2 linked regions of the Canis lupus familiaris genome follow. The main gene of each other region encodes a partner of the protein of the gene in region 2 in a complex. Links are inferred from orthologs where the notes say so. Each region holds a gene or a part of one and is shown on either strand. Other genes may lie near its edges.

Region 1 (4,526 bases), about 23 Mb from region 2:
AGGAGATGATACGCTGTTGCAGCCTCGCAAATGCGCTGCCCGAATCCCGGGCACCGACACTTTGGGAAATGCGGCCTCGGGGGGCGGTGCCCGGGGCTGGGTGGGGGGGGTCCCCGGGGCGGGGGGTCCCCGGGGCAGGGGCAGGGGCGTCCGCGGGGCCGCGGGCCTGGGGGCCGTCCTGGGCGGCGCGGGGCTCCCCGAACCCGACTCTAATCGACTTATTAAATGCCGAGGCAATCAGGCGGCTCCTTTTTTAATAGCCCAAGATCTACATTTAGACAAAAACAGATCTGAGTTCCTGGTAAAGGCGTTTCTTCTCATCCTGTCACAAGTGACAGGAACGGAGGGAAACAGAACGAGGGAGAGGAGGGGGAGGGGGAGGGGGAGGGGAGGCGGGATGACGGAGCAGGAGGCGGGGAGGGAGGCAGGGCGGGGGCGGGCGGGCGGCAGGGGGAGGGGGCGGCGGGGCGGGGGGGCTGGCGGGGATCCGCGCGGGCCTCGAACACCCGAGCGGCTGCTAATTAAAGCCCGCGGAGCCCTCGGGGACCGGCCTGACGTCGGCGGGCGCGGGGATAAGAGGCGGCGGCGCCCGGCCCGTCCCCGTCCCCGGCCCCGTCCCCGGCCCCGTCCCCGGCCCCGGCCCCGGCCCCGTCCCGGGCCCCGTCCGGTCCCCGCTGCGGCGCTGCGCTCCGGCCGGCGCGGGCCATGGACTAGCGGGGCCAGGACGCCGCGCTCCCCGCCGGCCCGACGCGCAGGTGCCCCGCGCAGGTGTGAGCCGCTGCCCCGCCGCGGCGCCAAGGTTCTGGGGGGGGCGGGGGCGCGGGGGTCCTAAGGGGTCCGGGGTGCGGGGTGCGGGCCCCGGGGGCGGGGGCGTCCGGCACACAAAGGCGGCGCTGGAAACTTGAGCGCAGCCGCCCGGCGGGGCGCGGCCCCCACCCACTCACGGGGAGCGCGGGGCCGCGGGGTCGGGGTCGGGGCCGGGCAGGGGCAGGGGCAGGTCGGGCGCGGGCAGGACCCCGCGGGGCGCCCCCTCCCCTCCCCTCCCGCCGGGGCCCCGCTCGCCGCGCGGCTCGGAAGGTGAAGAAAGTTGTGCCGAGGCCGCGCGCAGCCAAGTGCAGGCGGCGGGGCCGTCTCCCCGAAACTTGGAAAGGTCGGCGGGGGCGCGGGGGGCGCGGGGGGCCCTGGACCGGGTGGCGGGGACCGGCCGGGGGGCGCGGGGACTGGGTGGCGAGGAGGGGCGCGGGGGGCGCAGGAGGCGCGGGGACCAGGCGGCGGGGAGGGGCGCAGAGCCGGGGGCGCGGGGACCCAGTGGCGGGGCCGGGGCGGCGGGGAGGGGCGCAGGGGGCGCGGCGGGGCGCGGGGCCGGGGGGGGGGGGCGGGGTGGGCGCGAGGCGGCGGGTGGCGGAGACCGGGCGGGGGGTCCTGGGCCGGGCGGGGGTCGGGGGCCCAGTGGCGGGGCCGGGGCGCGGGGAGGGTCGGGGGGGGCGCGGGGAGGGCGCGCGGGGCGGCGGGTGGCGGGGGCCGGGCGGGGGCGGGGACCTGGGCCGGGCGTGGGGCCCGGGGACCCAGTGGCGGGGCCGGGGCGCGGGGCGAGGGCCGGCGTCCTTGGAGCCCCCGCCCGCCCCGACCCGCGCGGGTCCCCGCAGGCCGCGCCGCCCGCCGCGAGGAGCGCAGGATGCGCGGCCCGGGGCTCCCGCCGCTGGGGCTCCCGCCGCTGGGGCCGCCGCTGGGGCTGCTGCTGGCGCTGCTGCTGGTGCTGGGGGCGGCGCGGCCCGGGGGCACGGAGCCCGGGCAGGCGGCCGCGGGGCGCTCGCTGCTGCGGCTCGTCGTGGAGATCCTGCAGGAGCTCAGGAAGGCGCACGCGGGAGAGGCCAAGCGGCTGCACGGCCCGGGCCTGGGCCGCCGGGAGCTGTCGGAGTCGGACGGCGCGGGGCGCTCCCTCCCCGAGGAGCAGAGGGTCGGTGAGTCCCCCCCGAGGGCGCCCGCGGGGACGGGCCCTGGGACTCGCGCTGCCTGGGGAAACGCGTCTGTCTTAGCAACATAGAACCATGCCGACTGTTTGCAAAAAAAGAAAAAAAAAAAAGAGGCGATTTTTATTTTAAAGAACGAAGAAAATGGGAGGTGGGTGAATGGGGAGGCCTGGCCTAGCGCCGTCCGCACACCGCCGGGCCCCCAAGCGGTTACCTGGGTCCGGCGCTTTGGCACAGAGCTGTCAGCTGTTATTTTGGAAATGGAAATATTTTCAGCAAAGCACTTTCAACTGAGACAGAAACGTTTCGGGGCCGCCCCCCTCGCCCCCCCCCCCCCGCCCGTGGCCGAGCCTTCCCAGAGTGGGTGCCTCCTGGGAAATGTCCAAGGAAAGTAGGAGAGCTTTTAATGCTTTCCTGACACAATTAGGTCAAATGTGATAAGGTCAGTTTTATACAGACTGACACTCAGGAGACGTCTGAGCCGCACAAGTGAGTGAGGTTCACAGGAGACAGGCCCTCCTGAGACGAGGAGTCTTTGTGGCCAGGGAAGGTGCGTGCACACGTAGCCCCAGCAAAGTGAGCATCCAGAACGAGCAAGTGGAAAATGGTTACAGGTGACTGCAAAAAAAAAAAAAAAAAAGAAAAAAGCAAGCACAAAGCCTGGAATCAGAGGAGGTCTGTGGGAGCCCTGCTAGTTCCCAAGTAGAAAGACAACTGTCTTTCGGGAATCTCACTTTAAAACCAGGTAATTGTCTATTTGCATGCATGCACACCAGCCTTCATAACAGGTGGTTGTGAAGGCATTTAATCCGTTTTCTAAATATAGACCTAGAAAAAAAAGCAGTTTTATAACGATTTTTTGTTTGTTTGAAGCATTGGGTTTTCATTCTAAGACTTTGAGAGCTTGTGGGATCTGCCTACCAAGCTGCCCAAAATGCAAATGTCTGTCCACACGCGCACATGCACACACACAGCCCTTCACCCTTACGTGACTTCACGGTCGCTGTCTTCGTGCCAGTGGCAGAGACAAGTAGTACTGAAGCTCTGGGAAGAGCTAATATTCTGTCTGAATAAAAATGTGCTCCCGATGACGAATCTTCACATTATGTCCCATACAACGGTCGCAGGGGCTCCAGCCTGTTGTACTTAGTGCGTTGCCGCGTGGCTAACACAGGGTCTCCAAAGTCTTTCTTTGACATTCCTTCCGATCTCACGGGAAAAAAAAAAAAATGCTTCTAGCAAGCCATGCGAGAATTAACCTCTTTCCCTTCAAACAGAAATTGTTCCTCGAGATCTGAGGATGAAGGACAAGTTTCTAAAGCACCTTACAGGTGAGTGTCCTCATCCCGTTACCTGCGTCCGGGTCCCACATCGTGCGAGCACTCACCATCGGCTTCCTTCGTTGCAGGCCCCCTTTATTTCAGTCCCAAGTGCAGCAAACACTTCCACAGGCTGTACCACAACACCAGGGACTGCACCGTCCCCGCATGTAAGTGCGCCGTCCCCGCGGCCTCCCGCTCGCCCCCCTGGCTCCCGCCTGCCCATACGCACTCCCTCCTAACGATGCAGCGAGGGTCGGGGTGACCAGACCGCAGCAGAAGGCGGCCGCGTTCTGCAGCAGCTAGTGCCAAATGGAAAATTATTTACATTTGCTGGAATTAATCATGTCTTGGAGTGGGCCGAGCTCCTCCATTCACATTCTTGTTCTGTTTATGAATTCTGGCCTGATGTCGTCTATATTTGTATCTGCTCAATATGACAAACAAGCATCAAGAATGAGTTGCTAGGATGACTACCGCACACTGGAATGGTCTGGGGTGGACCGAGTCTGCGGGCCGGGGCCCCCCAGCCTCCCTGGACGCGGCTCCCCCGCTCGGCCTCACCGCCGACCTGGAAACGCACACCTCCCCTCAGTCCAGTCTCAGCACAGCGTTCTGATGGTTTCTCTGTAACAGAATGTATTTTATTTCCCTAAAGCGGCTGCTGTGCTCTTCATAAAATGTGTAGTGCTGGCAGGTGACACGCTAGCTGGAGTGACAGTGGTTAGAGCCCCAAACCCATTTATTTGTGACTTTTATCTCACGGGAGGCCCACAGGAGGGACGCTAGCATCCTGCCAGCTGCCTTCGGGGACCGTCCACACCAGGCTGCCCTGCCCTGATTTTAAAAAAAAAAAAAAAAGAAAAAAATCAGCCACTTTATATGAAGTGCAAGTTTTTCTGCTGAGGCAGCAGAGTTGCCCCCAAATCGACGCCGCTGCCGTGTGTGCGGCTCCTTGTACAGATGTGTGGTGAAGGTGGCCGGGGACACGGAGCTGGGTGCCCACCTGGGGGCCCTCGCCGCGCGGCTCAGCCCTGGGAGGCCGCCGCACACACGTCCCACAGAGCTGATTTTATTTTGCGAGCTCTGCTGTGGCCCACCAGGTCGTCCATGCCCAGTGCACCTGGCACGTAGCTGTTTCCCGCTTCTGTCTGAGAGTTAATCATCATTCCAGGGGCCAGAGCCCCTTCTCATGTTTATTGTTTCAATGTGCACATATATATATATATATATGTAT
Region 2 (3,543 bases):
GAGAGCTCCGCAGCCGTGGGCTTCTTGGCAGCTTTGCCAGAGGAAGTGGAAGGCAGGGGAGGCGGGGCAGCTGGATCTGGCCCTTCCTCCCGTTTAGCTTGTGGAGGAGAGACGAGTAGAGGAGGAATTCCCTCAGGGTCTTGGGGCCTCATGGGCACCTTCTCCTCCTCTTCCATGAGTGGGCCATACTCTACGGGCAAAGCAGTGTTGATCACATCTGGGTCCTACAGGCAGGAGAAACAAACGGATTACGATGTTGAATCACAGACCAAAACTGCTGGATCTGGAAGCTGATACCTTACTGATGGTCTCATCCAAACTGATTTTACACGTGAGGAGACCATTCAGTGTTGATTGGGGATATTTTAATTCAGAGGCACCAGGGAATAGGAGATGAATAGGAAATCATCCTTTTATCGGGCCCTGGAGGAGGCGCTATCAGAGGAAATCAAGAAGGCTCAGAGGACCAGCTGCCCCTGAGAAGAAATGCCGGTGGTGTCCTCCCTGGCGGGGGGTGCTGCCCGCCTCTCCTGCTCAGGCTGCCACAGCTGGTGGACCCTGGCCTCTCCCCATCTCCTGGGAGCTGGGGTGGCCTCCAATAAAAAACTGCTGGGTTAAAAAAAACAAAAAAAGGACGTGGAGGGGAAGCACTCGTCTAGAGGTGCCAGGTGCTGGGATGCAGCCAACCAACTGCCTGGCTTGGGTGTGTGGGATCAGGGAAGACTTTGCAGGGAACCACCTTTGGGAAAATCTGACAGATTCATGGATTTAAAAAGATTATAAATCAGTTAAAAAAAACTTATCCCAGTCTGTTCCCAATAAACTCCCTGCCACTGAAAAGAAAAATCTGGGTGTTTGACTTCAGGTCGGCGTGTGTGTACACATGAGGGACGAGGGGAGGGGAGGAGAGACACACTGTTGGCTCACAAGGTTTCTCTCTTCTCTTCCTAGCTACCTTCCATTTTCATATTTGGATGGGCTACACTTGATTATCATGTTTGCTGTGTTACATCATCGTATCGTTCTGTGTGCAGAAAACACAGTGGTTCTTTATCTGGTCTGGACCTGACCAGGCCCTTTGTGAAGCCCAGGAAGTCCTGCAGTGCTATGAGGAAAACCACTTACAAAAACAACTTTGTGCTAGATCATTCTTAAAGCAATGGATATATAGAAAAGCAGAAGCAGTTGCCAGAGATATGAAGAAAATCTGTGGAAGGAAACTCAAGCTTGGGGGAATTTAATTCTTTAATATTTTATGCAAAATGGGAAAACCATTGCGTCGGTGTAGCAGAAGAGCACTTTGGTCCAGTATTCATCAGTAAAGAGTATAAGAATAAAAATACCTTCTGCTTCTCTTATTCTTTAGTTCCTTCCCTGTTAATTATTAATCTCTATGGAGACTCATTAGAAATATGCTTGTACAGAATTACCTGCTTTTAAGAGGGACGTTATCCACTTGGGAGAAAAATGACTCCAAAGTATATGTATTTAAGTGGGTATATTCTATTAGAATTACAACATAACAACCTAAGATGCCATTCACTGAAGAGCAAGTTTTCTGAAAGAACCCTACATAACTTGATAAATGAAGTCCATCTAGATAAAGGCCCATCTCCGCACTTCTGAGCTGAAGTTGCTGGAAGAGCAGGGCGGGAGTGCTAGGAATGAATGATGTGGCTTGAACACGTATTTGGCTTCAGTCACAACCAGGATGGGGCGATTTGGGGAGGTAGTGGTGCCTGGCCCGACTTCTGAAATACTCTCTGGAGTTAGATATCCTGGCAGAATGAGAGCCAAGGGAGGGAGAGAGGCTGATGTGTGGAGAGGAGATCCTGCCTGCGGAGGGAGGGAGGGAGGGTCCCCGGGGAAGCTGGTGGTGCAGGTGCAGGGGCTCCTCTGAGGGAGGGGACGGCCCCCTCCACTGACTGGTGGGGAAGATGGTGAGAACGGACGTCCATGCATAGACAAGAGGGTAATGAATTCTCAGGCTCTCCTCTCTTGAAGTAGGAGGCAGGGTCTGCTAAAATGGTGTAGAAAGGGAGAATTTCGAGTTATTTCTGAAGGAAATGGGAGAAGGATCTGCATAGGGACCAGTGGTACTGCTAGGAAACCGTGAGGCTTGGAAAACCTCTCTAAGCCTCAACTCATCTGGAAAAGGGGGATAGTTTATGTATCTCCCTGAGGACAAAATGAAATAGATGAAAAGTGATCTGTATATTTAGATGCTGTACTAATGCTATTGATAATGTTAAAATTTCTCCAGCTTACTTTGTTCCTCCCTTGAATCCCTCTAATATTTATCATTGAACCTCCCATTTAACAATTATATACGATTAATTATTTCACATTAAAAAAAAAATTATTTCACATTATTATCTCTCTAGCCACACCATAAGCTATTTGAGAGCACATGTTTCCCATATTTCTCTGAAGCTCCAGTTTTGTCTAAAAAACCATTACCTACCCAGGAGGCATTTAGTTTAAGCCTTGTGATTTGAACTGATTCCCTAATGGTATTGGGTGTTCTGCAGCTGTGTCATGTTGTTGGCAAAGGAAGAGGTAATAATTAGCATTTATTTACAAAATGGGCAAACCGAGGGACCAGTTGTCTTACTATAGATAAGCAATCATCCTCGTGATTATAACTCACATTTTCTGGCTGGCTTAACTTTCATTTCACAGTTTGGTATTTGCCATCTTTTCCATATAAATGCTGGTTCAAGGGGGAAAATGTTTATACCTGGGTACAGTATTCAATCCTCTCCAAAATAATGGCAAAGTTGGGCCTATCTTCAGGCTGATGTTGCCAGCACTGGGTCATTATCCGGTACCTAAAAGAAGAGTAAATACGCTAATTAAAACTAGGAGAACAGGGATGCATACATTTTTCCCAGCATTTTTCTAAGGGGGACCAGAGGAGGCAGTCTTTGAGTGACAACTTATCTAGGTCCCATGTGGTTGGCATCTGCTGCCCTCTGCTGATGGGCCAAGGAATCGTGCCCAGGTGTAAAGGTACTAGAACACCAAAGCTCATTAACAGACATCCTGCTGTTAACGTGAAATCTGGCTCCTCTCCTTCCATTTCTGAATTAAAGTCACCTCTGGGGAAGAATATTCTAATTATATTTCCCTTCTGCCTTGCTTGTGCGAAGGAGGTGAGTGATGCCAGGCAGGACAGCAGAAAATGCAGGGAATGGGAATATTTAAAGGAGACTTAAGACAGATGGTGTTGGGCAGCAGGGGTGGAGTCTGGGACACAGATTCCTAGGAGGTGTTGAGGAGTGGGAGCCTGGTGAGTCCACAGTCTCCAGCCAGACAGTAGATAACTTTACAGACGTGACATTACTGCTTTCGAGGACTTGGAAGACTGACCCGCCTCACAGAAGTCACAGACACACCCCTATCCTGGGGTGTATTAAAAGAGGTCAACCCCTCCATCTTAAAACAAAAAATGCATATGTGGCTGCAGTATTTTTTGAAAAGGAAAACTGTCCCTATCAACTTGTAGAAATGTTCCTAAAAGGGTCATACACAGGCCCAGGA

Evidence for each region.
Region 1: the proteins of ALK (region 2) and ALKAL2 are in contact, whole or in part, in a cryo-EM structure (PDB 9G5I), measured with the Homo sapiens proteins. The link is inferred for Canis lupus familiaris from reciprocal best matches to the Homo sapiens genes ALK and ALKAL2. Residues at the interface, in NP_004295.2 of Homo sapiens: Leu684, Tyr739, His755, Ser758, Leu760, Phe856, His857, Glu859, Leu965, Tyr966, Thr967, Pro968, Leu970, Lys971, Val972, Met973, Glu974, Glu978, Asn980, Val992, Glu994, Cys995, His996, Met997, Phe1007, Asp1009; in NP_001002919.2 of Homo sapiens: Ser112, Lys113, His114, His116, Arg117, Leu118, His120, Asn121, Thr122, Arg123, Asp124, Arg133, Arg136, Leu137, Arg140, Leu141.

What each region holds. Positions count from the first base shown.
Region 1 is NC_049238.1:266,447-270,972, reverse strand, and holds the start of ALKAL2 (ALK and LTK ligand 2), read left to right. Parts: upstream 1-1,675; coding exon 1,676-1,961; intron 1,962-3,247; coding exon 3,248-3,301; intron 3,302-3,378; coding exon 3,379-3,459; intron 3,460-4,526. UniProt on the Homo sapiens protein: Cytokine that acts as a physiological ligand for receptor tyrosine kinases LTK and ALK, leading to their activation. Cytokine-binding is sufficient to activate LTK. In contrast, ALKAL2-driven activation of ALK is coupled with heparin-binding to ALK.
Region 2 is NC_049238.1:23,041,255-23,044,797, forward strand, and holds part of ALK (ALK tyrosine kinase receptor), read right to left. Parts: coding exon 3,532-3,543; intron 2,832-3,531; coding exon 2,741-2,831; intron 1,359-2,740; exon of another isoform or gene 1,070-1,358; coding exon of another isoform or gene 952-1,069; intron 225-951; coding exon 1-224. UniProt on the Homo sapiens protein: Neuronal receptor tyrosine kinase that is essentially and transiently expressed in specific regions of the central and peripheral nervous systems and plays an important role in the genesis and differentiation of the nervous system.